Linked DNA regions of Diceros bicornis minor. The protein of the gene in region 1 purifies or fractionates together with the protein of each later gene. This does not show direct contact. Links are inferred from orthologs where the notes say so. Each region holds a gene or a part of one and is shown on either strand. Other genes may lie near its edges.

Region 1 (7,966 bases):
TATCTGTCTAGGCTCTGTTAGGCTCCCTCTACATCCAGTCTTTTAATTGGGTATCAGTGTCCTCATTTTTAAAATCAGAGTAACTAAGACTCAGACTAAGCAACTTAGACTAAGACAAAGTAACTAAGACTCATAACTTGTTCAAGATCAGTAACAGCTGAGAAGAGGGGGAATTGAACTCAGGCATGCAATGATCCTTCCACTACAGCAGACGGCCTCCTCTGCCCTCAGAGACCCTGGAGCCTAATGAGACCTGATCACCTTCCCTCTTTTCCAAACATAGAAACTCTGGACCTCCTAGGAGGCTGCCATGCCTGGGCCGCTGCTTCCTTACCCACACAGCCAATGGTCACCACCCCGTCCTTGTAGCGCTCCCGGGTTGGGCCGGTTGGCTCCATCGCTGAGTCAGTCTGTTGCTCCACCAGGACTGCTGGCCCATCCTCCTCTTCCTCCTCCTCCCCAGAGCCAATGCCCCAGGTGGCCCCAGCCATATCCCGGGCAATCTTCTCCCGCCAGCTGCTCAAGTCCACTGCTCAGGGAAGGAGAAAAAGAAGGTTCTCCCCAGGGCCACAGTATATGAGGGCTCAGACTACGCACTGCACAGCTGATGTAACTGGCTGGAGTTACGCTTAACTCCCAAGCCTTCACTTGACCCCACCGTGGAATCATGGGCATTTCTCTGAGTTTCTGGAAAGTACTGGGAAGACTGAAGGCAGTAACCACTGGGGCTCCTGACTACCTGCTGCCTCGCTTGTCCCACCAAGTCAGTCTGCTCCCTCTTCCATCCCTCCCCTTGGCCTATGGCCTGCATCCATAATAGACAGGTTGACTTAGGGAAAGGTTAGCAAAAGGACTGCAGGCCCTGGGTCTCCCCCATGGCCTCCCACAGCTCCCTCTAAGGGGCACATACCTTTCCCCGCAGTGATGGCTTCACAGGCTCTCAGCAACTGCTCTGGCCCCAGGGCCCGAGTCCATCCTCTCCCCCGCCTCCGACTCTTCTTCAACACTGAGATCAGAGAGCACAAAAAGGTTAGCACTCCATCTCTCCCACCACCCTTAGGCCCAAGATCAGGAACCCCCTTGTCAACAAGCCTCTCTGTGCTCCCTTTTGTCCCCTGCCACCCGCCTCTCCCATGCTGCCCTCCTCATTGCCCACTCACCGCTACTAGGGTCCTGTGGGGTGCGGGGGTCCCGAGGGAAAGATGTGAAAAGGACGATGTGGAGCTGGGGATAGTGTTGGTGGAAATAATGCTTCCAGGCAACCACGAGAGGCGGCGGGGCCAGATCCACCTTGTTGAGGACCAGCACCAGTGCCAGGCCAAGTTCTCCAGTCACGTACTCATAAAGTGCTGGTGGGAAATTCACAACCTGGGAGAGGGGTGGTCACGGGATGGAGCAATGAGAGGTCAACCCAGAGTTGACATACGCATGTGAGCAAATGCAGACCGTTGTATGCACATGAAAATAGACATTAATTTCTACCCCAACTCCCATCCCTGTGCCTGCTTCCAGCCTTTACCCCAATGTGCTAGGTGTCGCTATTTCCTTATCTTGTTTTCAGCTCATTTCCATCCCTAACCAGGACCCATAGGAAGCCCCTCAGAGACAAATGCAGAGGTGTTACTTACCCCTGCTTTGTCTTTCTAGTTTAGTTTGGCTCATTTACCTTTTTTGCCCCAGAATCTGCTCCCACCAGGGTCTTGTCTCTGAGCTGTGCCTGGTGAGTGGGGAACTGGAGGCAGAGTATATGTGTACGAGTGTGTGTGTACATGTCATTAACGACCTCCAACCTACATGTCCCCACAGACCTCCCTTTCTCCCACTGGAGGACAATGGTGAAGTGGCAGAGAGGATTCACACAAGGGATGCCCAGCAGCAGAGTCTAGAGCCTGAACCACTACCCTAGCATTCCAGGCGAGGCTGAGTCCCATGGCAACTGATGCGGCAAGAGAGGCGGAAGCCCCCAGCTGCCTTCGTAGAAGCTCCTGGAGCTCCACATGGGGACTTTCTATTGGTCTAGTTCCCAGCGGACTGAGAAACAGAATATGCAGTTTTTCATCAAGGGAAGTAAAGGAGAGGAGAGTCAGTTGGCCAGGGGAGGAGTGACAGTCTGTCATACTGATGAATAAGGGACTGAGCTCCTGACTGCGGACAGCAGCATGGGGGAGAGGAGACTGGAAAGGAAAGAGGACACCTCTCTGTCTCCCAACTCCTGCTCCGCCCTTTACCCCACATGGGAGGAGGGAATCTTCCTCCCTCCTCCCATGTCCGCCTTCCCCCCAGCACTCACTGGATGTCGGATGTCGGTGATGAGAAGGATGATGTCAGACATCTCTAACACTCGCCACAGCTGCCGCCATGTCTGCAAAGACAGGTCAGTAGAAGAGACCCTGAGCCCAGAGTCCCTCCCCGCCTGATCCCAGACCAATCTGAGCATCGGTCACTCCGCCCCACTCCTGTCCTCACTCCATTTTCACCTCCAGATTGTGCTCAAAGTAGCTGAGTTTCTCAGAGGTGTAAGCCCCATGAATCTTCCCAAGATACTCCTGGAAGCTCCGTTCCTCCTGGCTCATCAGTTGCTCCTTGGACATCTCATAGCTCCAGGGAGGACGTCGGGGAAAGTCCAGGACTGGAAAGTCAAGAAAAAGTCCAAGTCAGTACGAGGACAGTTTCAGGACTCAAGGGTGCATCCCAGTCCCCTCCTTCCTGACCGTCAGCTCTTCCGAGCTCCTTCCCTCAGCCCACTGCCTGCCCCAAACACCCGGATGTCCGGCTCTCCCTCACCTGAACCGGGCTGATAGACCTCCCGGATGTCCAGCTCTAGCACCTCAGCGCTGACCGGCTGCAGCACTTGCTCCCGGGCTGCTCTCTTCCTCCTCTCCACCTCCTCCCGGCTGTCTCGCTCAAAATGCAGCCGATATCTAACGGGAGAGATGCCACGGCATCCATCACAGTCCTGTGACCACAAAGTCCCGTCTTCTCTCCCCTTGGGCAGACAACTTCGCAAAGCTTGCTCTCCAGACTTGTTCAAATCTCCTCTCGGAGTCGGCCCTCCCCCAAGTCCCTCTTTCATGGAATATTCGCCCTTCCCCTAAGCCTCGCTCTTCTAAAAGCCAAACTCTCTCCAGCCCCTCCGGAAGGGAAGACGGTGGCCTGCTCCGGTGAGCCCGGCGGCCCGCGGAGACTCGTGGCATCCCAGCCCCGCCACCTCCAGTTTCCAGCCTCCACCAACAGCAGCCGGCTTTCCCCCAGCCGGCTGACTTCCGGGTGGGCGGGGAGGCCCAGGCCAGCGCCCCCCGCCCTTTCTCACCGATTCGGGGCATAGCCTCGCGGGCCCAGCCCCTGGGAAGGCTGCTGGTTGAGCCTGCGGATGTGATGGGTCACAGACTCCCCGTCTGAGGTGTCTGTCTGCTCCTCCCGCCGCTCCCGGCTCCCGCTGCGGCTGTTGGAACTGGATCGCAGCCCATCTTGAAGCCCTGCGGGGAGGAGCCGGTGACGCCAGGGCTGGCAGGCTCGCAGGGGCCATAAGACCCTCTCTTCGGCCGGCCTGGCTCCCCCTCACCCCACCCTACTTCTTTTGAGGCCCGGTCCTCCCAGCCACGGTGCCCAGGACCCTCCCGGATGTGCGTGGGGGGAGTCACTCCTCCTCCAGGGAGCTGCGGGGATGGCGCCCCGTTCGAGCTGGAGGGATTCCCCTCCCCCAACTCTCCATCCTTCCCCACTCCTTCCAGATTTAGGGGGCTGGGATGAAGGAATCCCGTCCGCGGTCGCCCGCGCGCCTCGGCGCGCGACCACCACCCCCTCCCACGCCCCCTAGAGGTGCGGCAGGCACACCCCTCCTTCCAGATGTGCGGGAGCCGGAGCCCCGCCCCCTCGTCTCCCTCCCGCACTGACCTCGCTTCCGCTCCCGCTTGTCCTGCAACTGTTTCTTCTTCTGCTTCACGCTGAAGGGCTTCTTTCTCGGCATGGCCCGGACCAGTCACCTGGCCCGCCCTCCGCCGAGCTCCCGCCGCCTCAACTGACTCCCCCCCCGGGGCAGCCCCCGCCGCAAGGGCCCGGGACCCTTGAGGGGGCGGGGCTCTGAGGTGACGTCAGCGGGCGGGCCCGGCCAATTCGCCCCGGCGGCTGGGGTGGAAGGCGGACGAGGGGAAATACAGTCACTTCCCTCTGCGAGCGAGGCGAGAGGATGATGCGGGGTGGGCTACCCGCACGTGAGAGCCAGTAGTACCGAGAGGGCGCAGCGGCGGCGAGGAAGGAGGCGCGCGTGGGAGGATCGGACAACTTCGTCACGGACGCTACCAACTCGCGTTCGGAGGAGGGGGGACGCGTGTCATCACTACCTTTCGCGCCGGCGAGAAGCTACCACTCACCTGGAGGGGAGCGGCGGAGCGGGGGGCGGGTCCTACCACCTGGGGCAGAGAGGGGCGTGGACACGCAGAAGCTGTTTTACCAACCCCCGGGTGTGACCTTAGTGGAAAGCCGAGACTGCGCGTCCCGGGACTGAAGCCAAGTTTCTGGGCTACACTGGGGGCAGGGTCAGAGGTCTTGAGGGGCGGGTGGTGGTCTGAAAAGTCGTGAGCGCCGCCCTGCTGGGACCCAAATTCCTTGTGGGAACGATGATAAGGAACAGGTTTACAGATTATAAGGGCAAGCGCGGGAGAGGAGGGACATCCAGGTAGGACAAGGACTTTTGGAGGGAGGTCAGAGGGCACGAAGTTGTGCCTGCAGCGGTTACCACAGTAACCGGGTACCGGATGTGGCGATCTTAGGATGCGACATCCCTCTCTTCTCAGGCCTTCTGGGCCGAGAGCCTGTCGACTCTATGGCACACTGTGAGGAGACGGTTGTGGGATTTTTTCAGCGAGGGGAGAAGAGAGGAATTTTTTTTCTAAGCTTTTATACAAACGCAGCAAAGGGACGGTCTGAGATTGCCGCCATGCCTGGCAGAGACCGAGGAAGGCAGTTGGTGTGAGAACGCCACCGCACAAAGGACCCCGCAGCCTTCCGGAAGTGAAATGGCGGGAGCCTCAGCCTCACTGTCCACCGCCCCCCCGGAAGCGGAAACAGAATCCCAGCGTGCCCCTTCCTCACTGCCCTCCAAATCCCGCTGCAGCCATTGCCGCAACCACGATGCCGAAACGAAAGAAGCAGAATCAGCAGCAGCAGCAGCCGCCGCAGCAGCAGCCCCCACTGCCAGAGCGGGAAGATACTGGAGATGAGGAGGATGGGAGTCCCATTGGTGAGGAGCCCGGGAGGGGTGTGCACATGCCTGTCAGCCGGTCAGGGCGAGGAGTTAGGGGCTGAAAAGGTGCGGGGGAGGGGGCTCTAACGAAAGGAGGAAGGGCGCACCCGCTGGGGCAGAGAGGGGACTGTCCGGGATGGAGCCCTGAAGGAGGAGTTCTCTTACTTGAACCCTCAACTTCAATCTGGCTCCTAAAGCTTAATAAACAAGGTAGGGGAGAAGGTAAAGAGCTCGTGTGCGCAGCCGCAGAGTGGCAGGGGAGAGGAGTGGTAGAGGTTGCAGGTTGCGACAACTGGGATGACAGTTTGTGATCAGACTTTCACAGGGAAGGTGGAAGTGCAGCCTTCTCTAAAACTACTCCGGGTCAGGGCGGGGGACCGGGGTGTGCGTGGGCTTGGGGAGCTATCTGATTGGCCAGCAGTTAAAGAGAGAAATTGGATTACCTCTGGTATCACTGAGATGGTCTGGATAGCAACAATGTAAAGAAAAGGGAAAGTTGTAGGTAACCTTCCAGCTTTATCCCCCTTGACTGAGTCTCCACTTTTGGCAAACCCTGAAAACGCTTTGCAGAGGAAAGGGCAGATAGATGGGGTGAGAACTCTTAACACTGCTAAGAATATACCTTTACTGGTTGGATTAAGAAATGACTAATAGAAGAAAAACATAATAAGAATAGGATCATCAGTCCTTTAGTCCATTCTGATGACCATATTTTCATGTCTACTCTTAGGACCACCCAGCCTTCTGGGCCCTCCCCCCATGGCCAATGGAAAGCCTGGTGACCCCAAGTCAGGTGAGGAGGAGGGGGCCCCCTAATCCTTTGATTAGCTCCTGGAAAAGGGAGGGAGTGAAACCTAGAAAGAATATATCCTTTAAAATAAAAATATCAGGGCTTTTTGTACCTAAATAAATGGAGACATGTTGTATACTCACAGTTTGGAAAACTCAATGTCGTAAAAATGTCCATTTTTCCCAAATTCATCTATAGAATCAATGCATTCGCAGTTAGAATCCCTATAATGTTTTTGTAGAAATAGACATTCTACATTATAATATGGACATGGAAATGCAAAGGATCAGCCTGAGAGAATGCAAAGACAGTCTTGAAGTGAGAGGGCTTACTCTGAATATCAAGACAACGTAAAGCTATAGTAGTTATGACAGTGTGATAATGGACATTTAAGTCACTAGGATAGCAAAAAGAGTCCAGTAAAAGGCCCACACATATGTGGACACTTAATTTATGATGAAGATGAAACTGAAATAGTGGTCTTTTCAGTAAATGATGCTGGATTAATTGGACATTCATGTGGGGGAAAAAATGAAATTTGACCTCCTATTCATACCATATACAAACATCAATTCCAAGTGGCTTATAGATCTAAGTGTAAAAGGTGAAGAAATAATTCTAGAAAATTAATTTATTTCGTGGTCTTAGAGTAGATAAGAGTCCTTAGACAAGAAATACAGACACACTAACTACAAAGGAAAGATTGGTAAACTGAACTACATTAGAAAATAAAAACTTCTGTTAATCTGATGACACCATTAAGAAATTAATAGGAAGCCATAGAGTAGCAGATACTTGCGACAAATATAACCAATAAAGAGCTCATATCCAGAGTATATAAAGAACTCTTCTAGACAACCTGTTAGAAAAATGGGCGAAAGACTGGAACAGCCACCTCATAAAAACTGAAATCTAAACGGCTAAAAACATGTGAACAAGAATTCAACATCATTAGTCATTAAATAAATGCAAGATAAAAACACACCACTTTGAAATTGAAACTCTTGTGCACTGTTGGTGGGATTGTAAAATGGTACAACCACTGTGGAAAACAGTATGGAGATTCCTCAAAGAATTAAAAATAGAACTACCGTATGATCCAGCAATCCCACTTCTGGCTATATATCCAAAAGAATGGAAAGCAGGATCTTGAAGAGATATTTGCATACCCATGTTCATAGCAGCATTATTCACAATAGCCAAGAGATGGAAGCAACCCAGATGTCCATTGATAGATGAATGGATACACAAAATGTGGTATATTCATACAATAGAATATTATTCATCCCCCAAAGGGAAGAAAATCCTGTCACATGCTATAGCATAGATGAGGCCATTATGCTAAAGGAAATAAGCCAGTTACAAAAAGACAAATACTATATGATTCCACTTATATGAGGTATCTGAAGTAGTTAAATTCATAGAAACAAAGTAGAATGGTGTTTGCCAAGGGCTGGATGGAGGGAGAAAAGGAGAGTTATTTAGTAGCTATAAAGTTTCAGTTTTGCAAGATGAACAAGTTCTGGAGATCTGTTTCACAACAATGTGAATTAACACTACTGAGATATACACTTAAAAATAATTAAGATGGAAAATTTTTTGCTACATGTTTTACCACAATTTTAAAAAAACACCACTTTTCACCCTCATCAGAATGGGAAAAATGAAAAAGATTGACAATACCAAGTGTGGTCAAGACTGTGTAACAGCTGCTGATGGGAGTGTAAATTGGTACAACCACTTTGAAAAAAAGAGTTTGACTTTATGAAACTCGAGCATACATATGCTCTAGGACCCAACAATACCTCTGCTATGTATATACTCAACAGAAGTGCATACATATGTGTAACAAAGACATGTATCAAAATGTTCATGGCAGCGTTTTTCGTTATAGCCCCAAACTGGACTCCACCCACATGTCCACCATCAGTAGA
Region 2 (7,745 bases), on another chromosome or scaffold:
AAGTCAGACAGAGAAAGCCAAATACTGTACGATTTCACTCATGTGTGGAAGATAAAAACAACAACAACGAACAAACACACAGACACAGAGAATAGATTGGTGGTTACCAGAGGGAAAGTGGGGAGAGTGAAAGGGGTGAAGGGGGTAAAAGGTCACATGAGTACAGTGACAGATGGCAATTAGTGTTTGGGTGGTGAACGTCATGTGGTCTACACAGAAATCAAAATATAATGATGTAGGGGCCGGCCGGGTGGCGCAAGCAGATAAGTGCGTGCGTTCTGCTGTGGCGGGCTGGGGTTCGCTGGTTTGGATCCCGGGGTGCACACACACACCGCTTGTCAAGCCATGCTGTGGTGGCATCCCATATAAAGTGGAGGAAGATGGGTACAGACATTAGCCCAGTGCCAGTCTTCCTCAGCAAAAAGAAGAGGATTGGCAAATGTTAGCTCAGGGCCGATCTTCCTCACACACACACACACAAAAAAATATATATATAATAATGTACACCTGAGATTCATATACCGTTATAAACTAATGTTACCTCAATAAAAAACTAATTAAAAAGAAAAAAAGTTGTTTTGGCTATTCTAGTGCATTTCCATATGAAGTACTAGCTTGTTAATGTTTTAGAAAACACTGTGCTGGGATTTTAATTGAGATTGTGTTGAATTTATAGACCACTGTAAGGAGAATTGATATCTTAATGCTATGGAGTCTTCTGATCCCTGAACACAGTATATCTTTTCATTTATTTAGGTCTTTAATTTTTATCAGCAGTGTTCTTTTGTAGTTTTTGGTTTTTAAAACCAATTAGAATAAGACAATTCATTTTCTTTCTTATACGTTTTGTTGGCAGTTTGCTGCGAATTACAGCGAAAAGTGAGGTCAACATGAAAGTGACACATATCACTTCAACTCACTACTCATTGGCCAGAACTAATCATATGTTTCCACCCGACTGTAAGAGAGCCAGGAAGTACAATTCTGCTACATACCTGCAAAGGAAGAAAACCAGAAATATTTGGTGAACATCACATCATATCATTGGTTGCCTACCCAACAGCCATTCCCCATCTCTTATTCCTTGCTAAGGGAACCCGAGTTTTGTCCACTCTCTTCTAGGTGAACATCTGCTTCAGGAAAGCCCAGACCTTTCCTGGTAATCCCATTGCTCTTTGCTGGTTATTGGGTTAGCAATGTTCTGGCTAGGAGACATAAAGATGTCTATTTCTGGGACTTCTGGGAAGGTTTTTCTCTCTCTTAAAAAGCAACATCAGACACGGGCACTTATCTTTCCTGCTCTTATCTGGTGCTGTCTGATGATGTGCTTCCTTGAAGTTGAAACCAAAAGGGAATGGCAAACACTCCAAGGCTGGACAGATTCTGGATGACTGAGGGCACTGGTGTACAATGTTGAAATAATCAACCCTGGAACCACCCCACCCTTAGACCTCTTGTTATATAAAATGATAAATGTCCTTATTCTGGGCCTTTTCTGCTTGGGTTTTCTGTAATTTGAAGTCAAAACCATCTAATTAGTACTGAATGCTAAAGGTGAGACAGGAATTGTGCTAAGCACTTCATCTGCATAAAGGTAATACAATCTAATTTAATCCCCATAATAACACTGTGATATAGTCGTGTTTATCATATACATTTTATGGATGGGGAAATTAAAGCATAAAGAAGTTAAATCCTTGCAGAAGGCCACACAACTACAAAGTGGTAAAAACAAAGATTAAAACTTTAGGTCTAACTGACACTAAATATAACTTGAAATCATTTGTAAATGTTTCATGTCTTCCCTACTTTTAGTTTTTCTCTGAAGCACATGTAAAAAGTAGAATTGCAGTGTTTCACTCCAAGCACCCAGAAATTTCCAGGGGTATACAAAAATATTAGATAATGTAGAATCTGATTAACTTTATAATTTACTGCTATGTAACTTTAGGCAAGCATTCGCTCTCTCTCTCTTTTTTTTTTTGGTGAGGAAGATTGGCCCTGAGCTAAAATCTGTTGCCAATCTTCCTTGTTTTGCTTGAGAAAGACTGTCCCTGAGCTAACATCTGTGCCAACCTTCCTCTATTTTTTGTATGTGGGACGCCGCCACAGCATGGCTTGATGAGCAGTGTGTAGGTCTGTGCCAGGATCTGAACCTGCAAACCCCGAGCCGCCGAAGTGGAGCATGCAAACTTAACCACTATGCCACTGGGCTGGCCCCAGGTATTCTCTTTTATTTCAATGAACATGTTCATATCCTCACTAGGCACTAGGAATACAAACATTTAGACATTTATCCAAAAAGAATGGCAAGAAGGAAAAAAGAAGCAAAACATTATGCCCTATTCACAACAATTCTATAAGATGAGTATTAAATATACCCATTTACTGATGGGAAACTTGAGGCTCAAAAGGCAAAGTAAGTAGTCAAGCCACAAAGCTAATAAATGATGGAGTCAATAAGTGGTGGAACTAAGAAGTTATGGAGTGAGATTGAAAGCAATATGTGTCTGACCCCATGTAAAATGTTTTCAGCTTTACCACCATATATTAGGTGCATCTAGGTATTATCTACTGTCTGTGTTTTGTCCTGAAATGAAGCTAGGCTTCATGATCAGCTGGGCCTGGCTTTCATCCCTACCTCATTAATTACTGTGAAAATTAATAAGGGGAAATTTCATTTAAAATGAAGTCAGGAGGCCAGAAGGAGGAGCTCCCATATATTGGAGGTCAATTACAGGAAAGCTAGTCAATTACAGACTTCAACAGAAAGAAGTCAATAACTGGAAAGAATAGTCAATTAGAGGTAGAAATGTACAGTGAATCCCAAACAGAAATCTACTACCCCAGCAACTCACCAGTAAGAAGCCATCATTACACTGAACTCTTGCTTTTCTCCAATCGCTTTCACTCAAGACAACCTCTCCCAATTTCTCCTTTTTTCCTTATCAAATAGTGTTCTTCTCCTTTGATTGTTGGATTTGCCTATGGTCCGCCATAGCATGTGCATCTCGAATTGCAATTCTTTGGCTATTCCTGAATAAACTTGTTTTGCAGGTAAAATAACTGCCTGTTTTATTTTTAAGGTTGACATTACCAATAGCATGGACTTGGGCCAATTTTTAACCTTACCAGCCTGTTTCCTCATTTCTATCATGAGGTAACATAACTACTTCATAAAGTTTTGTGAGGACTGGAAAATAAAAACAGTGCCCCTGGCACTTAATAAATGACAGGCATTATTATTGCACAGCTAAGGAAATTAGGATACACGGAGATAAGGGTAGTAGTAAATGTTCACCCAGTTCACTGGTAACCATGCTAGGACTAGACTATAGGACCTATCTCTACTTATCCAGATCTCTTTCTAGCAGCCAACCAAAGAGAATTAGGAGCTCAAGGATTATGAAGAAAGTTTTTGGAGAGTAGAGACGACCAATCCTAATTCCAGATTCTAAAATATGGCCCACTGATAAATATTTATTGTGTGTCTATGCAGCTGTAGCTGCTGATGAAACAGTGACAAACAAGATAGACAAGGTTCCTGCTCTCAAGGAGCTTATATTCTAGCAACAGCAAATAATAAACAAAATAATTTCAAACAGTGGTAAATGATAACAGCTTGATGTGGGAGAGCCTGTCTAGGTAAGGGATGGAATCCTGCCTTAAATGATGAGAAAGAGGCATCCATATGAAGTACTGGGAGGAAAATTGTCCTGTGCAGGAGGAAACTATGCAAGTGGAAAGTTTGCTTGATGGTAATGAACTTGGTGTGTTCAAGGGACGGAAGGAAATTAGTGCATCTGAGCACGGTAAGTGAGGATGAGAGTGGTGGGAGATGAGATTCATGGAGGTAAGCAGAGGCCAGATCAGGCAGGGTCTTGAGGGTCATGGTAAGGAATTGAGGGTTTTTTTGTCATTGCAATGGGGAGCTACTGGAGTGCTTATGTAGAGGTGTTATCATACTTGGCTTATATTTTTAAAAAGATCACTCTGATTGCTCTTTGGAGAATGGATCATAGGAAGACCAGAGCAGAAGCAGTTAGGGTGGCTGGGATTTAGTTTATGTTAGTAGACTTGTATACAAGCAAATGGAAATTCTTATCATCTTTCTTGACCTCCCAAACTAAAGGGTTCCACCTTCCTATTCCATCATCTCATATAGCACTATCATTTAATCATTTATTTGTTTATTGTCTGTCACTCCCATCGAGGGTTGCCAGATAAAATACAGACGCTGTTAAATTTGCATTTCGGGTAATGAATATTTTTTAACTATATGTGTTCCTAAATACTGCACGGGAATTGCGTAATACTGAAAAACTATTAGTTATCTGAAGTTAAACCGGGCATTCTGTAGTTTTGTTTGCTAAATCTGGCAATTCTACCCCCACTAGAATGTAAACTCCAGGAGGGCAGGAACGATTTGTCTGGTTCCCCAACGCATATCTAGGGAGCAGCATAGTGCCTGCCAGGCACACAGTAGGAGCCCACACATGCTTACTGAATGAATTAATGAACGATTTAACAAAGTAATGAGTGACTGAAAGAAAGGATGAACGAGAGCCCCTCGGTGCGGGGTGTGGGGGAAGACGGAGAGGATCAGACCGGCGGGGAACTTTAGATTGGTGTGCAGCGGCCAAGGCAGACGGCGGCCGACGCGCTGAGGTCACGGGCACCGGCGGCCCTGGTGACGTCATTACGCCCGCGCTCTCGGCCTCGCCCGGGCTTAAGTGGCACCGGCGCCTCCCTGGGTCTTGTGGTGATTGGGGGCTTTGGGGTGACCCCGGCCCAGCGCAGGCCGCCTGTGGAGCCGTCCGGTCCCAGCAGTGGCCCCCGAGCCTCCCTGTCTCTGTCACTGGCCGTCAGCCAGCAGGCCTGGCCGCCCCCCAGCGGGGAGAACATCTCCTCAGGGCCATGTCGAGGCCGAGCAGCGTTTCCCCGCGGCCGCCGGCTCCTGGCGGTGGCGGGGGTGGCGGGGGCGGCCTCTCTCAGTGTGGCCCTGGGGGCGGCGGCCGCGCCAAGGGGCTGAAGGACATTCGTATAGACGAGGAGGTGAAGATCGCAGTCAATATCGCTCTGGAGCGCTTCCGATACGGGGACCAGAGAGGTGAGGTTCCCGACAGGGACCCCGCCGGCTGCCCCACCTCTCCCTAACCCGGCGCCCGGTGTGAAGGGGCTGCGCCAGCGGAGGGAGGGAAGACCCGGGCAGAGGCGGGCCGGGGGCCTGGGCCGCGGTGGTTACCCTCGGCGGGAGCTGAAGAACCGCACGGCGTCCTGCGCATCGGCAGCGTTGTGGGGCACTTGCCTGGCATCAGAAGGTGGAAAAGTCAGGTTGCCCCCTTGCACGAGACGTTTCTTCCCCCGAGGGAGAGGCCTATCTACGGCAGCTTTGGGCGGCTAAGCCACAGTTTTTAGATATTAGTAAGCCCCTACCTTTTTTCTTCTTTCTTTTTTTAAAGGAGGTTGTGGTAGCCTTAACGTTTGCGCCACAGAGGTGGAAGAGCGGAAGGAAATCAGACAAATAAATGCACTGGCAATCTGTAGTGCTTTGATTAATTCCTAGAAGCATCACGTTAGACACTTAAAATGAAACTTGTTTTGGTATAGGAGACTCCTTCCACACCTCTTAAGGTTAGAAAGCTACTTGTCTTGGGTCACATGATACGGAACCAGCAGCCGACCTGTGGTAATCGGTACAGTAGAATGATGCTCATTCCGATTTGCTGGCCTAGATAGGGGGTCCCTTACTCTGGAAGTTCACAGTCCAAAACAGGGAATGACCTGGACAGAGTGATTCTGGACTTAACGTTAAACAAAGGTAAAGCTTCGGCGATATAGAACAAATCCAGTCTGAGATAGTGATGAATTATCACTAATGAGATAGAATATGAATTTTATACAGTTTTGAAGGCAAAGACAGTGGAGTTTGATGTTGAGCATTCCTAATACTTGAGCATCCTCATCATGGAAGGAAATAAACACTCTGTTAATTAAGCAAGTAAGGACTAAGTTAAAATAGTAAAATATCATCAACCATTGTACCAGTTCAAGATTCCAGCACAAATAAGAGGAGTAATCTTTGGTGAACATTAGAGTCCTTTATCACGTTTAGGCTTAATTTTTATTCATATCATAACTGGTAGACATTCAGTAGTTACTGAATTAATATCTACTTTTCACATAAAATATAATACGTTTGATTATACGCTATATGGCTTTTTTCATGTTTTATTTCTATATATGTGTATTGAAGCACCTTTGAAGAAAATTGCCTATCCTCAAATGGTACTTTGTGTTTTTTTCCGTGTAGAAATGGAATTTCCTTCTTCTTTGACCAGTACTGAAAGAGCCTTTATTCATCGATTGAGTCAGTCTCTTGGTTTGGTCTCTAAAAGTAAAGGGTAAGCTGATAGCTTTTTTTATTTAAAAAAAACTAGTTACCAAAAAAAGAGAAATGTTTCTGATTGCATTTACATAGTTATTACTGTTCTAGATTCACATCCTTAATTATATTGTGTGTAGATAAACTGATTCATGTCTATCAAACTCAGCTCTTTCCTATTTCTCCTATCCCCCTTTTTTTGTTTTCCCTAGGAGACAACAAAGAAATAAATTTTAAGATTTACTTAAAAGTAAGAAAAAAATAGCTTAAAAGTTGAAACTGATTGCTTGAGAAAAATATTTTCTTTTCTCATAGAAGCTAAATCTTTTTCTAAGAATGTATGGAATAAAGATAATAAGTACAATTATTTACAGAACTTATCTCTTTTAATGTTACTGTACCATAATGGTAAGCTTTAGAGTGCATGTTCATTGTTTTCTTTCCTACCAACTCAAGAATCTGATGATTAGAAATGATGAGGTAAAACAGAACAGGAGGAAACAGTATATATTTTTTGAAAGTTCACTGATCCGTACAGAGAAGAAGTGATTTGAGCCATTCCAGTTGAAGAACTCTGAAATTCTGTGGAGCTACTTCATTTTGGGAATAAGGATAGTGGGATTCAGATATAGCAGGGTTTCTCAATGTTGACATTTTGGACTGGATAATTCTTTATTGTGGAGGGCTGTTTTGTGCATTGTAGGATGTTTAGCAGCATACCTAGCCTTTACCCACTAGATGCCAGTAACACCTCCACCTCCAGTTGTGACAACCAAAAATGCCTCTAGACATTGCCAAAATGTTCCCTGGGAGCAAAATTGCTCCTGGTTGAGAACCACTGAGAGAGGGAAAAAAAATAAAATTTCAACTTACCACTTTTTAGGTTAAGAAGAGGGAAAACAAAACTTTATTAAGTAACTATATTAATAAATAAATAGTAGGAAGGTCCTAAGATGAAATTAGCTGATGTAGGGATGTCTTGCATATGAGTACCCACCACAGTGATTACATTACTGACTGAGACAGAGGCTTTAGCTTAGGTGAATGTGCATTTTGAACATCGTTAAGGCCAGTGCGGGGGAACAGTGGTTAGGTTCCTGAGCATGCCCAAATTATTGTCCTCTGCATAGATAAAATTCTGCACTTGAAAATAAAAGTAAAGTAGAGAGTCATAATTCTTTATCCAAAAACACCTGGACCAAATATGTTTTGAGATTCAGATTTTTCAGATTTTAGAAAGGTATTAGGGTATATTTGCAATATGTTATGTAACATTCTTAACAAGGTATAGGCATCACCTTTAATCACATTAATATTTCTGCTGGAAAGTGTATGAATATTCCCACTAAAATAAAAGACT
Region 3 (7,595 bases), on another chromosome or scaffold:
TCAAAGGGTTTCCCATTGGCTGAAGATGGGACAATTTGAGCATTAACAAGAATAATGACTGCAATGGATTGAAACAAAGCAAATATATAAAAATCCACTAGTTCAGGGGGCCAGCCCCATGGCCTAGTGGTTAATTTCAGCTTGCTCCCCTTCAGCAGCCCCAGTTTGGTTCCTGGGTGTGGACCTACACCACTCATTGGTGGCCATGCTGTGGCGGCAGCCCACACACAAAACAGAGGAAGATTGGCAAAGATGTTAGCTCAGGGTGAATCTTCCTCAGCAAAAAAAAAAAAAAAAAAAAAAAAAATCCAGAAGTTCAGAATGTTATTTAAAACTAGTTAGCTTTGGAGTTTCCTATGGCATCAACTCTTTATTTTAAAAATTGGTAAATAGGGGGAAATTTATCCTGTTTTTCCTATGCTAATTGTATTTCAAGTTAACCAAAGAGTTGAAGAGAGAAAGTTCTTCTCTGTAGACAATTTCCAACTAATAAGTGCACAAGGAATGATAAAATTATAAAAACCACAATTTTGTAACCCCTAATGAAATAGTGGATTGAGATAACACTCATGAATGGCTATTAAAACTACAGAATTTTCTAATGGATAAATCAGACTGGAAATACCTGAACTTCTGATCAATATTAACATCACTAGAAGTGAGACAACCAGACATTATGTGTCTCCTGATGTGATGGCACGCACATCACCTATGTGTGTTCAGAACCATCCATAAAGTATTTCTTTGCCAAAATGTGAAACTGCGTGCAACTAAACCTCTAGAACTAACCATCACTTTAAATGACACCATGAGGTTACAATCAGCTAGGTGGGAAATTCTATAGGACAAATGACCTGATTTCTTTAACAAACAAATATCACTTTAAAAACTGAGTGAGAGTGAACTTTTATACATTAAAAGAGGCTTGAGATATAGCAACCAAATTTAATGAGGACATTGTTTCATCCTGATTTAAATAAACGAACTACAAAAAGCAATTTTTAGATAATCAGAGAAAAATGATCAAGAACTGAGTATTAGTTGATTTTAAAAAATCATTGTCAATTTTGTTAGATGTGATCATGATACTGTGTTACAAAAAAAGTTCTTATTTGTTAGAGATAGATATTAAAATAGTTGCAGGTAAAATGATATGGTGTTTGGGATATACTTTAAAATACTCCAGAAAAATAAAAATTGTGTGCGTGAAACAAGAATGACAAAATGTTGATAAATGTTGAAGCTGGGTATTAGGAAAAGAGGGGTCATTATTCTAGTCTCTCTGCTTTTGTATTTGTTTGAAACTGATCACGATTAAAGTTAAAAGCTGAGTTTTTAAAATGTGTTAGTGTCAACTCCAGCAAACATACAAAAGAGTCTATGAACCACTTAAAGAAAAATATTGAAATATATTCCTATGTATCTACAACCCAGTGCAAAACATGGAACAGTATATTCCCATGTATCCACAACCCAGTGCAAAACATGGAACATTACCGTCTCTCCAAGTCCTCTTTGGTCCACCCCTGAATATCTCACCCTTCTTCTCCTTAGAGGTAACAGCTATTCTGAATTTTGTGTTATAATCCCCTTATTTTTCTTTACAGTTTTTTTTAAGTATTCATGTACTTGTTCTTACACAACATACCATTTTTTTTCTGTTTTTGAACTTCATACAAATGGAATCATGCTTTATGTTGATCTGCTTCTTCAACATCAGTTTTGAAATGATCAATGTTAATGCTTTTAACTGTAGTTTATCCATTTTCACTGCTGCAAATTGTTCCATTGTACACATACACTAGTCTTTTTATCCATTCTACAGTCGGTAGACACTTGAGTTATTTTCAGTATATTATGAACATTCATGTACATTTCTTTGAGGTATATACTTACAAGTAGGATTACTGTGTCACAGCATACATGCAAATGAAATTGAGTAATGCTAAACTGTTTCTAACATGGTGGCTGTACCAATTTACACTTCCTCCAGTAAGGAGTGTTTTGGAGATTTTTCCCTTTTCTACATCTTCACCTTTTCTTAATATTTTCATAGTTCTTAATTTTGGCCAATCTGGTGAGTGTGAAATGATATCTTATTATTATTTTAATTTGCATTTCATTTATTGCTGGTGAGTGTGAGCATCTTCATATGTCAGAGGGACATTTGTGCTTCCTTCTCTGTGAAATACACACATTCATTCTTTTGCCCATGTTCTAACAAATTGTTTTTCTTTTTCTTACTGATTTCAAGGAGTTCTTTATGTATTCTGTATATTAACCTTTTGCAGTTACATGGATTACAAATAACTATTTTGTGGCTTGCTTTTTGACTTTCTTTATAGAATCCTTTGATGAATCAGTGTTCTGAATTTTAACATAGTCAAATTGATCAATCTTGCACTCTTGGTCACTATATTAAAGAAATCTTTTCCTACCTCAAGGCTATAAAGATATTTTTCTATATGGTCTTCTAATAGCTTTATAGGTTTGTTTTTTACATCCAGGCCTTTAATTCACTTGAACTTTTTTCTTCCCCTTTTGTGAAGCAAGGCTCCAATTTCATTTCTTCCATATGGACAGCCAATTGACCCAGAATCATTTATTGAAAAGCTAATTTTTTCTCCATTGCTCTGCAATACCAACTTGGTCATAAATCAAGTGTCTACATAATTGTGGATGTGCATCTGGGCTCTCTAAAACAGGCTGAATTTTCATCATCCAGAAAAAAATAGATTAGCCTAAGTCGGGTAATTTCCCTTCTCACCTCAAGTCTAGAACTGCTGACATTGTTCTTAACTTGTTCTCTTCCTTCAATCTCTCCTCCAAACCATCATTCCTAGTCCTCCTAGGTTCTTAAAGCACAGATTAGCTCACGTCAGCTCTCTGCCCGAAAACGTTAAAGGGTCCCACATTGAAACAATATAAAGAACTGTTTTAAGCTTCTCTAGCTAGACAGTGAACCACTCCAACCTTCAGACTGACGTTAACCTCAACAGTGCCCACAATATAGCAGAAGCTCAGTAAATACTAGTTTCCGTAGACGATTTCACATAAGTTAACTGTTAATGTTTTTTTTCAAGAGAACATGATCAGCCTCCTGGCATATCCAAAATGTTCTCATATGAACTTACATTTATTGTGTTTTGTCAACCTAGAAATTTGTCTAAATCATAAAAAGATTATAAAGTTTTCAGCTCACTATTTCATTGTTTTAAGTATCTTATTAAACCTGTTTTGAAATGTAATCATGTAAAAATATAACTTTAACAAAATCATGCATGCCATTTCAGTTTGATTTACTTTTGTGAGGTTACGAAAACAGACTCTCGGAAAACCAAAATGACAAAACAAAGTAATCAAGGTGTATTTAATAACAAATGAATTTTTCATTACATTTTATTAGATGTGCAAGAACTCCAATCTGGAGGTGCTTTCTTACTTATCCTGTTTGTACATTTTGGTATTCTCTCTTTTTGAGCTAGAGTATAAAAGTCTTCTCCAGGCAGCTTCAGGGACCAATTAACTCCATTAAATTATATCCAGTTATGTAGTGAACCGAACCACTGCTCTCTGGGGCTGTCTAGAGCTGTGACAATTAGGAGATGGAGAGGCAGAAAGAGCGAGATTGATTTTATATGTCACTGAAGCACACTGCAACAATATGCCAGCGTGACTTTCAAAATGGCCTTAAAATATTCCAAACTCAGGGAGTTTCCTTGCTCCTGAGTGGGAGTTGACAGACTGTCTGGCAGCATTAGAAAGAGGCAGAGAAAAGCTGATGTCTATATTGTGTCCTCTAATAATAACATTCTGCCTCTTTGCGGCATCTCCCCCTTAGAAGGATCCGTCTATTTGTTGTGAAGTGTGTATGTGTGGGCGCGCGCGCGAGAGCTTTGCCTCCCCTTGGGTAGAGGACATGATTTCACCTCTCACATCTGGGAAAACCAAACCGAAGGACACTAACCCTCACAAGGTCACCTAGAAAATTAGTCTTGTGACCTGGCGGGTGGGGAGAACAGAACCCAGGTGTCCCGACTCCAGCGTTGTGGTTGGGCACTAAATCACTTTCCTTCCCTTGTGGAAAAACAAAAATCACTGGGCGGGGGGGGGGGGGCGGGGGGGACGGAGTGAGAGATTAATCAGATTTCCTCTTTTTTCTCCTTACCTCCCCTCCCCCTTACGGAGATAAAAACTCATGAAAGCAAACGAGGTGTCCACTCTTCAGTTCTTAAGCTGGGTCCCCCAAATCCATCCCCCAACCCCCGACACAAAGCGATCCGGGCTCCGAGGGTTTCTGCCCGTCCAACCGCGAGCCTGGGAGGTGAGGAGTGGTTAAAACTCAGCCCTCACCTCCAGCCGGTCCCGGCTCCGCGGCGCCCAAGCCCCGCCCCCGCCCGCCCTTCCCCCTCGGCCCCGGCACGCCAGCCCCTCTCCCCTCTCCCAATCGGGCGCACCCACCCCAGATGCCGCTTGGCACCGAGCGCAGCCGCCGCCGCCGCCGCCGCCGCCGCAGCAACACTTTTCACTTGTATTGATCACCTCCCAGCCCGGCTCAGCCTGCTCGCCCGAACCGAGCGCGGCCAGCGCGCCAGCTCTTGGCAGCCCCGGAGCAACCGGGCTCCGGGAGGCAACTCCTTGCGAGCGCCCTGTCCGGGGTGCCCTCTGCGCTCTGCAGTGTCTTTCTCTCTGCCTGGGAGGAGGAGAAGAAGGAGGGGGAGGACGTCTGGTCCCGGCTAGGAGGTGGAGCAGCGGCAGCAGCCGCCGCCGCCGCCGCCGCCGCCGGAAAGGGAGAGGCAGGAGAGATCGAGACTTGGAAACCCCAAAGTGCCCGCGACCCTGCACAGCAGGCTCCCTTCCAGCTTCATGGGCAAAGTGTGGAAACAGCAGATGTACCCTCAGTACGCCACCTACTACTACCCCCAGTATCTTCAAGCGAAGGTAAAGGGGCGCTGGGGGTGGGGAGTGCCGGAGGAGGGGGCCCCGGGAGCGCGCGTGGGTCGGGTCCGGGGAGGGGCGTGCGGAGCGACCCCCCGTCGCCCCCGGTGGAGTTGATGAAAGGTTGCTAACTATAGCGCTGGCCTGGGTAGAGCCGGGCGGCGCGCGGGGCGGCGGCTGCCCGGGCAGCGGAGTGCGGGGATCGGGTTACAGCAAGCCGCGGGGGGAGAGACTAGACAGGAAAGAGCCGCCAGCCCCTTCCTGGCCAGGAGGCGGGGAGGGTCGCGGGGCCGAGCGGCGCCCCTCGCCGAGCGCTGGCTGCTCGGCCGCCGACGCCTGGGGCCCGCGGCAGGAGCCGCTGGCGGCGCGGCTTTCGACCCCTTCTCCTGGGCCTTGCCTTTTGAGCAGTAACTCTTGGCTTGCCTCGGAGTTGCGCGGAGCTTCCTGCCCCCCGGGGACACCCCTCCACCTCCCGCGCGCCCGATGACTGGGGCCTGGGGTGGGGGACGGGACATTTTCCTCCCCGCCTCCGGCCCTGCGCGCCCGCCCCTCGCCTTGATCTTTGTGCGGTGTGGCGCTTCACCTGGTTACTGATCTCTACTTTTACGCTGGTGTTTTGGGTAGAAGAGTGGCCAAAGTTCACTCAGTGTTCACTGATGTCCCTTTGAATCTTCCCTGTGGCTTTTGCAAAGCAGGAACAATGGGCAGATTTCAGTGCAGAGAAAGAAGTGAGTTTGTATTTAGTTTAGAATAATACTACCTTATGTGTTTACCACAGATCGATTTCCAACGGTGCTTTCTCAGAAGTGGCCTTGGCATGCTTTTAGGTAACACTGATGACATGTAGCCGTAGAAATTGCGACTGGCTTTCTAGGGACCCTAGGTACTTTGTTAGTGGACCTATCTTATTTTTACAATAAGAATTTGATGCCTCCTGAAATCGTTAAAAAAAATTGGGTCCATGAAGACTGAGGGTTTCACTGCTTTCGAAGCTTCTTCCACGATTTGGGAGGGCGGAAGTTGGATGCACCAGCTTTCTTCCGCAATTAGCGTCTCCTATCACGACTCCAGGTGCCCTTCTAGATCACAAAACAATCAAGTATGGATGCAGTGTCTGAACTTTATTTGGGAGGTTGTAATCTTGCCCTGCTTGCGGGCAGAGGGCATTTCTGGCCTGGTACAAAGAATCGCTGATTCAACCTTGATAACCTTTTCTGTCTTGCAGTGTGTGTGGTCCGTTTTATGTACCTACAACATAGCTTTGTGTTTGTCCATGTGAAAAGGACACTAGTCAACATAGAGACGGAAATTTCCTAGCACTCGAGGGCCTCGTTTTCACCCCCCCAATTCTCATTTTACTTTGGGTCGCCAGAAAGCAGCAAGATGGTAGCAGCAAGCATACTCATTATTCATTTCTGTGTGGCACCCACCTATTTGTTTTCAGGGACTGGAGGGAGGTGCTTGTTTTCTGTGAGCTACATTGTAAATATAAGTTGTTCAAAGAAATTTTGAGGCATAATCAATGCACTACCTTTTAAATATCATATATGTTTAATGCGCTTGTTTAAATTATGCAGCATTGGGTGCCTAAAAGACAGCCTATTCAACACTTAGCTATATGAATAATAAATACATACGCTCAGGTGAAGAAGAGAAAAGGCCATGTTTCTTCAGGCACATTCACCTTAGTAATTTTTATGTACCATTAGTAAGTTAGAAACCAAGTACATAGCATTTAATATAGCTAATGCAATGCCATTTGGCTCTTTTTGCCCTGTAAATAATTGAAGAGAGAGACAACAGCAAGAGCTTGCTCTAGTAATTAGGGTCGGATCCCAGAAAGCTTTAGGGCCCATTTTCTGAAAGTGTGCTTCCTGCATAAAGCATTTAATATTGATTTGTGTTACGGTAAATGACATTCTCAAAACATATCTTGTTGTTTCTACTGTGAAATCTGAAATCCTATTACTCTGAATCTCTTTGTTTCTGGAGAAAGACACACATACTCACTTGACCTATATAACATGGTATTAAAGTTTGATAATTAAATCTAAATTCCCTGTTGTAAAGTATCTTGATTATCTCAGAAAGGGGCATCTCCCAAAATCTAAAGTGACTAGATGCAGATTTTAGGTAAGCACAGTTCAGAACACATAGCCCTTTTTTTTTCTCCCTTGCATATCTATTGGTAACGTGGTGTGAGTCATTAAAAAGAATAGACACTTCGTTTGATTTGTAGTTAGTTTAAAAACAAGCATCGCCCAATCTGCCTAAAGAGTTCATGAACTCACTTAGAATCTGTTGTCTACAGTGATAATCCTTGCCTGGGTGTGTGTGTGTTTTAACCTTCCTGAAATATGGGATAGAAAACATCACTCTGTTTAAAGTACAGTGATGTGTTTGCTAGTCAGAGTTGTTTTGAAACTTCTGTTTGGAAACTATATCAAAAACCGAGGAATGGCACATCGTTTACAAAGTGGTGTTTGACTTAAACTTGTGCTCAAGAGATGGATATGATTGTTTTGAACTGAGAAAGAATAAATGGATGGGATTTCTTTTCATCAGAAGGAATAGATAACCAATTAAAATGGCGCTTGAAAATGAGTTTTGTTACCATACTTTAAAAAGTTAACATATGTCAAATCATTCTTCTCGTG
Region 4 (7,955 bases), on another chromosome or scaffold:
CTGGTTGGCTCCACAAGACCCCTTTGCACCTTGCTGTGGAGTGTGGCCACGGCCCCACCACAGAGCTTTTGCTGAGCCGAGGGGCCAGCCCCACCCTGAGGACGCAGTGGGGTGAGGTGGCCCAGGATCTGGTGTCCGAGGGGGCCTGTCCCAGGCGCTGCCTGCCCTTTGCGGAGAACAGGAGTGTTGGGGGCACAGAGGGGCCCCAGGGGCCCTGGCTTCTCGCCTCAGGGTTGAGCCCACGTGGCCAGAGCAGGACAGATAGCTCCTGGCTCCCACAGCCTTCGGAGTGTGCCGGGCTCCTGCCTTCTGAGCTGAGGCCACCTGCCTGGGCAGAGGGGAGAACAGCCAAGAGGTTCCTGGAGGAGGAGGCAGTGGCTTGAGCCCCAGTAATGGGCCTGTAGCCGGCCCTGGGACTGCCCCACTGACTCCCACGGACCTATCACCCCTGCAGCTCCAGGCTTCTCTAGACTCTGGTGGAGAGACTGAGTTGTAGCAACAATCTGACCAAAACCCGATGGTCTCCCCTTTGTCCACCATGGGGGTGTCACCCTCAGTTGCTCGTTCTGTACATGGGAGCGTTCTTACTGTGTTTTCTTAGATTCAATATTTGTCTAGTGACATCCATTAATTACAGGGCCAAACTAACGGCCACAGTTGTTTACATCTCCCCTGTGATCCAGTGCCCATACTCTCAACTGCCACCTTCTCTCTCACACCTCCAGCAGATGTCCTCCCGGCCCTAAATCACCCAGGGCCAGGTACCAGACACCTGGGGACAACCCCAATGCACCAAGGCCCACTGGGATTACCCAACAAACCAATCCTAAACTGTTTCCCGCCCTGCCTTGCCTTTCCCGTGGGAACCCCAATAAAGGCTCTGGCCTGAGCTTCCTTGATCCTGCTTCCTCGTCCTGGCTGACACTGGGGCTTCCCCTGTGGCCCTGGGGGGCATGGTGTGAAATGTAATAAGAATCTTCTTTCAATGGCATCACCCTCTCCCTGTCATCACTCAGCCATCTCATAAATTAAAACCCGGGGGTACAACTGAAACGGGGACCATCGTCTGACTGCCCACCTCATAGAAGATCGTTGCCATTATTTGATTTTTCTGAGTGAACAGTTTTACAGGATAGATTTCATCTTTCAAAAGTGAGAGTTGTCATGCCAAATTAGCACCTCTGTGCCCAGGGGCTATGGAAGCCCTTGGATTTTACTCCCAGGGCAACAGGAAGACTTTGGGGAGTTTATGTGAGTGTGACGAGGTCTCCTCAGCTCACAGAGCCTGCCAAGTGCAGAGCGGACTGCACCTGGAAAAGGGAAGCACAGGGTACCCGTGAGATGGTGGTGGCATAGCAGTGGAGGTGGGAGAAGCAGGCAGATTGGGATGACTCTGTGGGCAGAGCCCTCTGGACTTGCTGATGGGTTGGATGCAGGGGGCCAGGGATGGGGAAAGACAGCAATGAGTCCTGGCAAGTCTCGGGCCCCAGGTGGAGGGGAGGGTGGGAGAGCAGATGCACAAGATGAGACTGAGGGAGAGGTGGAGGCTGGGGTGACATCTTTAGAGTCCTCAGAGTCAGGATGGGGATTTTTTTGTTTTGTTTTTTGCTGAGGAAGATTTGCCCTGAGCTAACACCTGTTGCCAATCTTCCTCTTTTTGCTTGGGGAACATTTGCCCTGAGCTAACATCTGTGCCGATCTTCCTCTTTTTTGTATGTAGGTTGCCGCCACACTATGGCTGCTGACAAGTGGTATAGGTCTGCACCTGGGAACCAAACCTGGGCCACCAAAGCGGAGTGTGCCGAACTTAACCACTAGGCCACAGGGCTGACCCCCAGGATGGTTTTTTTTCTTTCTTTTTTGGTGAGGAAGATCAGCCCTGAGCTAACATCCAATGCCATTCCTCCTTTTTTTTTTTTTTTTTTTGCTGAGGAAGACTGGCCCTGGGCTAACATCCGTGCCCATCTTCCTCTACTTGATATGGGATGCCGCCACAGCATGGCTTGACAAGCAGTGTGTCAGTGCTCGCCTGGGATCCGAACCTGCGAACCCTGGGCCGCCAAAGCAGAGCGCGTGCACTTAACCCCAGCGCCAACGGGCCGGCCCCCCCCACCCCCACCCCTACCCGCGATGGTTTTTAAGGCTGCAGGATGGACCTCCACAAAGACGGCCAGCACAGCCTGTGGGCTCCACCTTCAGAGCCTGAGTGCCTCCCACCTCCTCCACCTCACCCACTATGTCCAGGCCACCACCAGCCTTGCTGGAATGTTGCCATAGCCAAGCCAGCCCCGAGCCTGACTCGTCTGCCTGCTTGAGCCCTTGACTCCCTGCAGTCTGTTCTCAAAACAGCAGCCGTAATCTTATTGATAAGTTGGATGAAGCAACTCACCTGCTCAGACCCCACCAACGGCTCCCTTTCATGGAGTGCAAAAGCCAAACATGGCACATTGTGTTGTTCACAGAGGCCCAGTGACCTCGCCCATCTCATGTGCCCTTTCCATAACGTGATCTCTGTGTTCCTCCCACCCAGAACTTGGGGCTCTGTCTCCACCCTGACATCGAGTGGACTTCTGTGACTATTCAGGTTCGCAGAGTACTGCCGGAGTGATGCTGCGTGACTTTCCAGGGTGGGCTAGGGAGGTGATAGGGTTCCACATTGCCTTGTCCTTAGGCCACCATGTAAGCAGCCTGACGGCCCTGTGGCTGCCATGCTGTGGGGAAGCCCAGACGCAGCACGATAACCAGAATATCAAGTCCTTACACGACCTTCAAGGCCCTACACATTCTCACCGGCCTCTGTCTCTGGCCTGCGACTTGCTCACTGAGCTACAGAGGCCTGACCCTGGGACCTCACCAGCTCCACTCCCAGCACATTGGCATTTCTGCTGTTCTGGACCACACCAGGCATGCTGCTGCCTCAGCTCCTTTGTGCTTGCTGATCCCTCTGCCTGGCATACTCTTCCCTCAGATACCTGCCTGGCTTCATCAGTTATTTTCTCCTTTACTCAAATATCACCCTCTCAGTGCACTCTTCTAACACTGTTTAAAATTGCACCCCCCAAATGGCAAAGCTCTTCTCTCAGTAGAATGCCAGTAAATATGGAAAGAATGATGGAGTTAGAGAATCAACAATGGATGCTCAAATGAGTGAGTGCAAGTTTGATGAAGAACAGGATGTTGTCTCAAAGCCCGACGGCTGATGGGGGTGTGCTGCTCAGGTAGCCATTCAGGACCACACTTGTTATTCAGCTTCAAGTCCACTGCAGCACTTCAGCCAACGGCATGCTCTTCCTGGCAGTCCCAGATGCTGAGCACAGCTAAGATACTGGGGTCTGGCCATTTCTGCCCAACACGAGACTTCTCTAACAGGCAATCTTCACTTTGGAATTACTGGGTTAGCCCAGATGCTGTCCAGTCTGCATCCCTTCTGAGGCCCTCCAGGCCCAGTCCTCTTCCTCCCTCTTTAACAGGCGTTACACAACCCACCTCTGCACTCCTACCTCCCTCAGTGTCTGCTCACCAGAAGGCCTGTAATGACTCACCAGGTATTTCTCAACAAATTATTTATTAGTTACAAAAGTAGAGAAACCTGGCAAACGATACCTTAACCAAGTGGTCAAAGCTGACATCACTCATGTTGGGATAGGCTGCCATCATGGCCTCCTGAAACCAGCCACCAAGAAGGACACTATTTAATTTCTGTAATATTCTGCAAAAATGTAAAACCTGATTCGGATCATGAGGAAACATCAGGCAAACTCAAACTGAGAGGCTTTCTACAAAATAACTAGCTCATACTCTTCAAGAATGCCAAGGTCAAGAAAGACAAAGAAAGGCTGAGGAACTCTTCCAGATTAAGACTAAAACTTAGACACAACAGCTGAATGCAGTGCCTGATCCTGGACAGGGAAAAAAATGATGAAGTACATTTGACACAATTGGAATATGGACTGTAGGCTAGACAACAGTATTGTATTAATGTCAAATTTCGTGATTTCGATCCTTGTGCTGTGGTTTGTAAAAACATGTCCTTGTTCTTAGGAAATACACAGTAATTAGATATCGCCAACTTCCTCTCAAATGGTCCCCCCAAAAACCCCACTGTGTTCATAAACGTTTATAGAAAGAAGGACTAAAAAACGGAGCAAAATGTACACAGTTGGCGCATTCGGGTAAAGCGTACTGGTAGTTCCTTGAACTGGTCTCGCATCTTTTCCGTAGTTTGAAATTATATGCAAATAAAAAGTGACAGGGAAATTGCACACCCGTAATGTGCCCCCTGCACCATTTCCCGCTGTGGTCAAACAGACCGTGAACAGTGCACCGTTCTGAAGGGTCCTGCTCTGGGCGGTCCGTCCTTGCACAGCGGTAGGCGACCATCACCGCCGTCCAGCTTCAGGACATCCCATCACCGCCAGAGGGAACCCAAGCCGTCGGAGGCACTCGGGGCCGCTCTCCGTCCCTGGGTCTCCCATCCCGCGCATGCACACGAAGGGCCGCACCACGCCCTCCCGCAAGCTGTTGCCCGCCCGCGGCCGCAAGGCCCCGCGTCCCCTGCACAGCACACGCCTGCACCTCATCGGCTGACGGCTAGTCTGTATTGCCCCGCGCCCAGCGCGCCCCACGCCCCCGTCCGGGAGGTCCGGCAGGGCCGCCGGGCCCAGCGCAGCAGGGAGGAACTCGCCACCGCCCACCCGCCCGGCCCATCTTGCACGCACAAGAGCATGCGCACAACCGTGGGGGGCCCGGCGGCGGTGGGGACCCAGGGCGCACGCGCGGCGCCCCGGAAGTCCCCCTGGCGGGCTGCTGACCCGGAAGCGCTGGGAGCCCTCCCGCTTCCGCTGGCTGCGCGGAGGCGGCGGCGCGTGCCTGGTTGAGGGGCTGTTGGCCCGCGGGCGCTATGGTCTTCCTCACCACAGCGCTCTGGCTACGGAGTCGCCTCACCGACCGCTACTGGCGGGTCCAGGAGGTGCTGAGGCACGCGCGGCACTTCCGGGGGAGGAAGAATCGGTGCTACCGGCTTGCCGTCCGGGCTGTGACGAGAGCGTTTGTGAAATGTACGCGAGCCCGAAGGGTGAAGAAGAGGAGCATGAGGACGGTGAGCGAGGCCGGGGCCCCTCCGGGTGGACGGTGCGGCGAGGACGTGTGAGCGTTTTAGCCGGCCTGCCCGGGGAGCGGCTCCTCCGCCCGAGGCGGGCGCCGCAGGACCGCTCCTTCGTTTCTCCGGCGGAATGCGGGCCGTCCGGGTCCCGCGCCCCTCGCCGCGCTCTTCCCGGGCCTGCCGGAGCCCCCCGCTTGGCCCGGCCGCGCCGTCTCTGCCGCCCGCACCTCCCTTCTGCCTGGAAGCAGCGGCGGGAAGCTTCCCGTCACACGTAGGACGGGCCGGACGCAGACAGGCCTGGTCCCTCCGGGCCTGTCCCCGGCCGCTCGCCCCCCTCCCCGCTCCGGGCCGCTCCTGGCTCCCGACGGCTCCTGGAAGAAGCCGGGCCGCCCTCGGGGCTCGTGCATCGCGCGTGCCACCTTCCTGGTTCGGCTCCCTCCCCTGCGAACTTAGCGTCCAGCGCCGCGTCTTTTACTGGGTTGGTGGTTTATTGCTCGTCCCCCCACCCCCGCTAGAAGGGCAGTTTCGGAAGAGATCTTTCTGTTCTGCTGAATGCTGTAACCAGGGGTCTAAATCAGTAGCACTTTGTCAGTATTGCCTGAATGCATAAGGGAGGTAATTCTGACCCTTTAAAATGAGAAAAGTGTCATTAACCCGAGATTAGGGCCACAGCGTGATAAACTATCTCTGCACGGTGGTCTGTGCGGGAGGGGCCTCTGCATCCCAGCTCAGCTCTGTTTTTTGTGCCTTGTTCTGTCGGAACGGGATAGAGGTGGTGCTGCCGCCTAGGACCCCACAGGGCTCTGGTCACTGATGCGTATGTGGAGAGTTGTGGCCAGTATCTGGTGGCACGCACGCCCTTGCTGCTACAGAGGAGAGCCGAGGCTCTCGCGGGGCGGGGCTCCCTGTACAGCAGCAGCCTCACCTGGGAACTTGTTAGAAATGCAGATTTTCAGGCCCCACCGGCACCGGCTGACTCAGAAACTCTGGAGGTGGGGCCCAGCAATCTGTTTTAACAAACCTCTAGATACTTCTGGTGTGGGTTCAAACTTGAGAACCAGTGAAATTGAGGAAGAAAGTGGACTTGAGTACTGTCCTAAGACTAGTAACGAATGGCTTAAGAGAGTCCCCCTTGGCCTCCCCCTTGTTTAACGCACCAGAGCCGTCAGAAGCTTCCACATCACATCGCCCTTCCAGATCTTCCCCAGCCTCCCCATCAGCCTTGACTTCCCTGCAGCCTTCAGACCTTTGTTGCACCTGGAACAGACCCTGCTACTCCCTGCTAGCTGGGTCCTCTGAGGCCCCTTTCCTCCCTCCCTCAGGCCTGCTCTTTCCCCAAAACTCTTCACCTCCTTGAAGCTTCCACTTCAAATGTTTCATCCTTGCCTGGTGGCACTTACCTCAGTGGCTGTCATAATTCATCCACATGGATCCTTTCTACACTCTGAGCTGTGTGTGCTGCAGAATCTCTTGCTCATCTTTGTATTCTCAGTGCCTAAAAATGTGCGTTGAATGAACGCCTTCCAGCACATGGTTTTTCTGTTTCTCCTTTAGAAAGCAGCTGGCGGGGGCCGGCCCCACGGTGTAGTGGTTAAGTTTGTGCGCGCTCTGTTTCAGTGGCCCGGGGTTCTCGGGTTCAGACCCCGGGCACGGAGATACGCACTGCTCGTCAAGCTGTGCTGTGGTGGTGTCCCATATACAAAGTAGAGGAAGATGGGCACAGATGTTAGCTCAGGGCCATACTTCCTCACCAAAAAAAAAAAAAAACGGTGCTTGGGTGACATGCATCAGCCTTTGCTCACTGTTATCTGTACTGCAGGCCTGTTTGCTAATAGAAAACATTGGCTTTTCTATTTACTTTTACAAAAAAACCATTTGGTTCACTCAGAACTTTGTTGGAAGGCGTGGACATAACATAGAGAACTAGTTCTTAAGCATCTTGATGTTTTTTTATTTCAGCTCTGGATTAATCGAATTACAGCTGCCTCCCAGGAACATGGTCTGAAGTACCCGGCATTCATTGGCAATTTAATTAAGGTACAGTTGAGGATGTCCTGCTGCGATGCTGACCCTCTACAGAAACCGGCCCAGCTGGTGTGGTCCAGCAGCTGGGCAGTGGAGTGTTAGCACCCTGGCACTGCTGCTGTCCTCTGGGGAGGGGGGCCAGTTCTGGCAGGTTCAGGGACTCACTACGCTTGCTTTGCCCTTGCTCCTGGTAGCAGAATTGGAAATGGGGCATGTGGTACTAAGACGTGAGCTCTGGAGTTTCCCCATCAAGGGAAAAAGGTAGAAAAACTTAGCTTTAACTTTAAAGTTTAATTTAAACTTTATTTAATATAACTGAAGGATTTCTGATGAGGTAGCAGATAAAGTTGAAACTCACACAGTGAAAAAGGAGGAGGAAATGTCTTGGAGGGGATAGATTAAGCATGAGTCCCAAAATCTTGGTAATTGTTGAACCTGGTGATTATGCTATTCCTTCTGCTTTTGTGTGCATTTAAATTTTTTCTGAAAAAGTTAAGGGGAGTGTGTGTTGTGCTTCTCCTTGTATCAGGCCCTGTCTTTGGTGCTTTAGCAAGATTCTCAGGGTAAGGGTAGAGGGTGTGACATCCCCATTTTACTGATGGGGAACTGAGGCTCAGAAAGGAGATGGACTTTGCCCAAGGCACACAGGTCCCAGGTGGCAGAACAGGATCCACTCCTCCTGCTTAGCTGCATTTAATGCGCAGAGACCATCCCACCTCTCTGCCCCTCAGGCTCACTGGCAGTGTTCCAGTTTTCTGAAGTCACCTGCCATTTGGCTTGATTGATGATGTGGTCTGGCTCTTGTGGGAATAATGGGGAAGGCCCGGTT

Evidence for each region.
Region 2: the proteins of PRR3 (region 1) and YTHDC2 purify together in Homo sapiens (co-immunoprecipitation; 3 studies listed by BioGRID and IntAct, with this or other methods). This does not show direct contact. The link is inferred for Diceros bicornis minor from reciprocal best matches to the Homo sapiens genes PRR3 and YTHDC2.
Region 3: the proteins of PRR3 (region 1) and RBMS1 purify together in Homo sapiens (co-immunoprecipitation; 3 studies listed by BioGRID and IntAct, with this or other methods). This does not show direct contact. The link is inferred for Diceros bicornis minor from reciprocal best matches to the Homo sapiens genes PRR3 and RBMS1.
Region 4: the proteins of PRR3 (region 1) and MRPL20 purify together in Homo sapiens (co-immunoprecipitation; 3 studies listed by BioGRID and IntAct, with this or other methods). This does not show direct contact. The link is inferred for Diceros bicornis minor from reciprocal best matches to the Homo sapiens genes PRR3 and MRPL20.

The regions. Positions count from the first base shown.
Region 1 is NC_080753.1:34,523,991-34,531,956, reverse strand, and holds the start of PRR3 (proline-rich protein 3), read left to right. Parts: upstream 1-4,936; 5' UTR 4,937-5,130; coding exon 5,131-5,239; intron 5,240-5,972; coding exon 5,973-6,035; intron 6,036-7,926; coding exon 7,927-7,966. Other genes in the region: GNL1 (guanine nucleotide-binding protein-like 1), read right to left, coding at 335-529, 911-1,006, 1,161-1,368, 2,291-2,362, 2,478-2,629, 2,785-2,921, 3,311-3,476, 3,895-3,967.
Region 2 is NC_080740.1:35,982,111-35,989,855, forward strand, and holds the start of YTHDC2 (3'-5' RNA helicase YTHDC2), read left to right. Parts: upstream 1-4,723; 5' UTR 4,724-4,917; coding exon 4,918-5,110; intron 5,111-6,313; coding exon 6,314-6,404; intron 6,405-7,745. UniProt on the Homo sapiens protein: 3'-5' RNA helicase that plays a key role in the male and female germline by promoting transition from mitotic to meiotic divisions in stem cells.
Region 3 is NC_080749.1:43,049,055-43,056,649, reverse strand, and holds the start of RBMS1 (RNA-binding motif, single-stranded-interacting protein 1), read left to right. Parts: upstream 1-4,475; 5' UTR 4,476-4,866; coding exon 4,867-4,941; intron 4,942-7,595.
Region 4 is NC_080752.1:22,353,756-22,361,710, reverse strand, and holds the start of MRPL20 (large ribosomal subunit protein bL20m), read left to right. Parts: upstream 1-4,866; 5' UTR 4,867-4,900; coding exon 4,901-5,098; intron 5,099-7,060; coding exon 7,061-7,138; intron 7,139-7,955.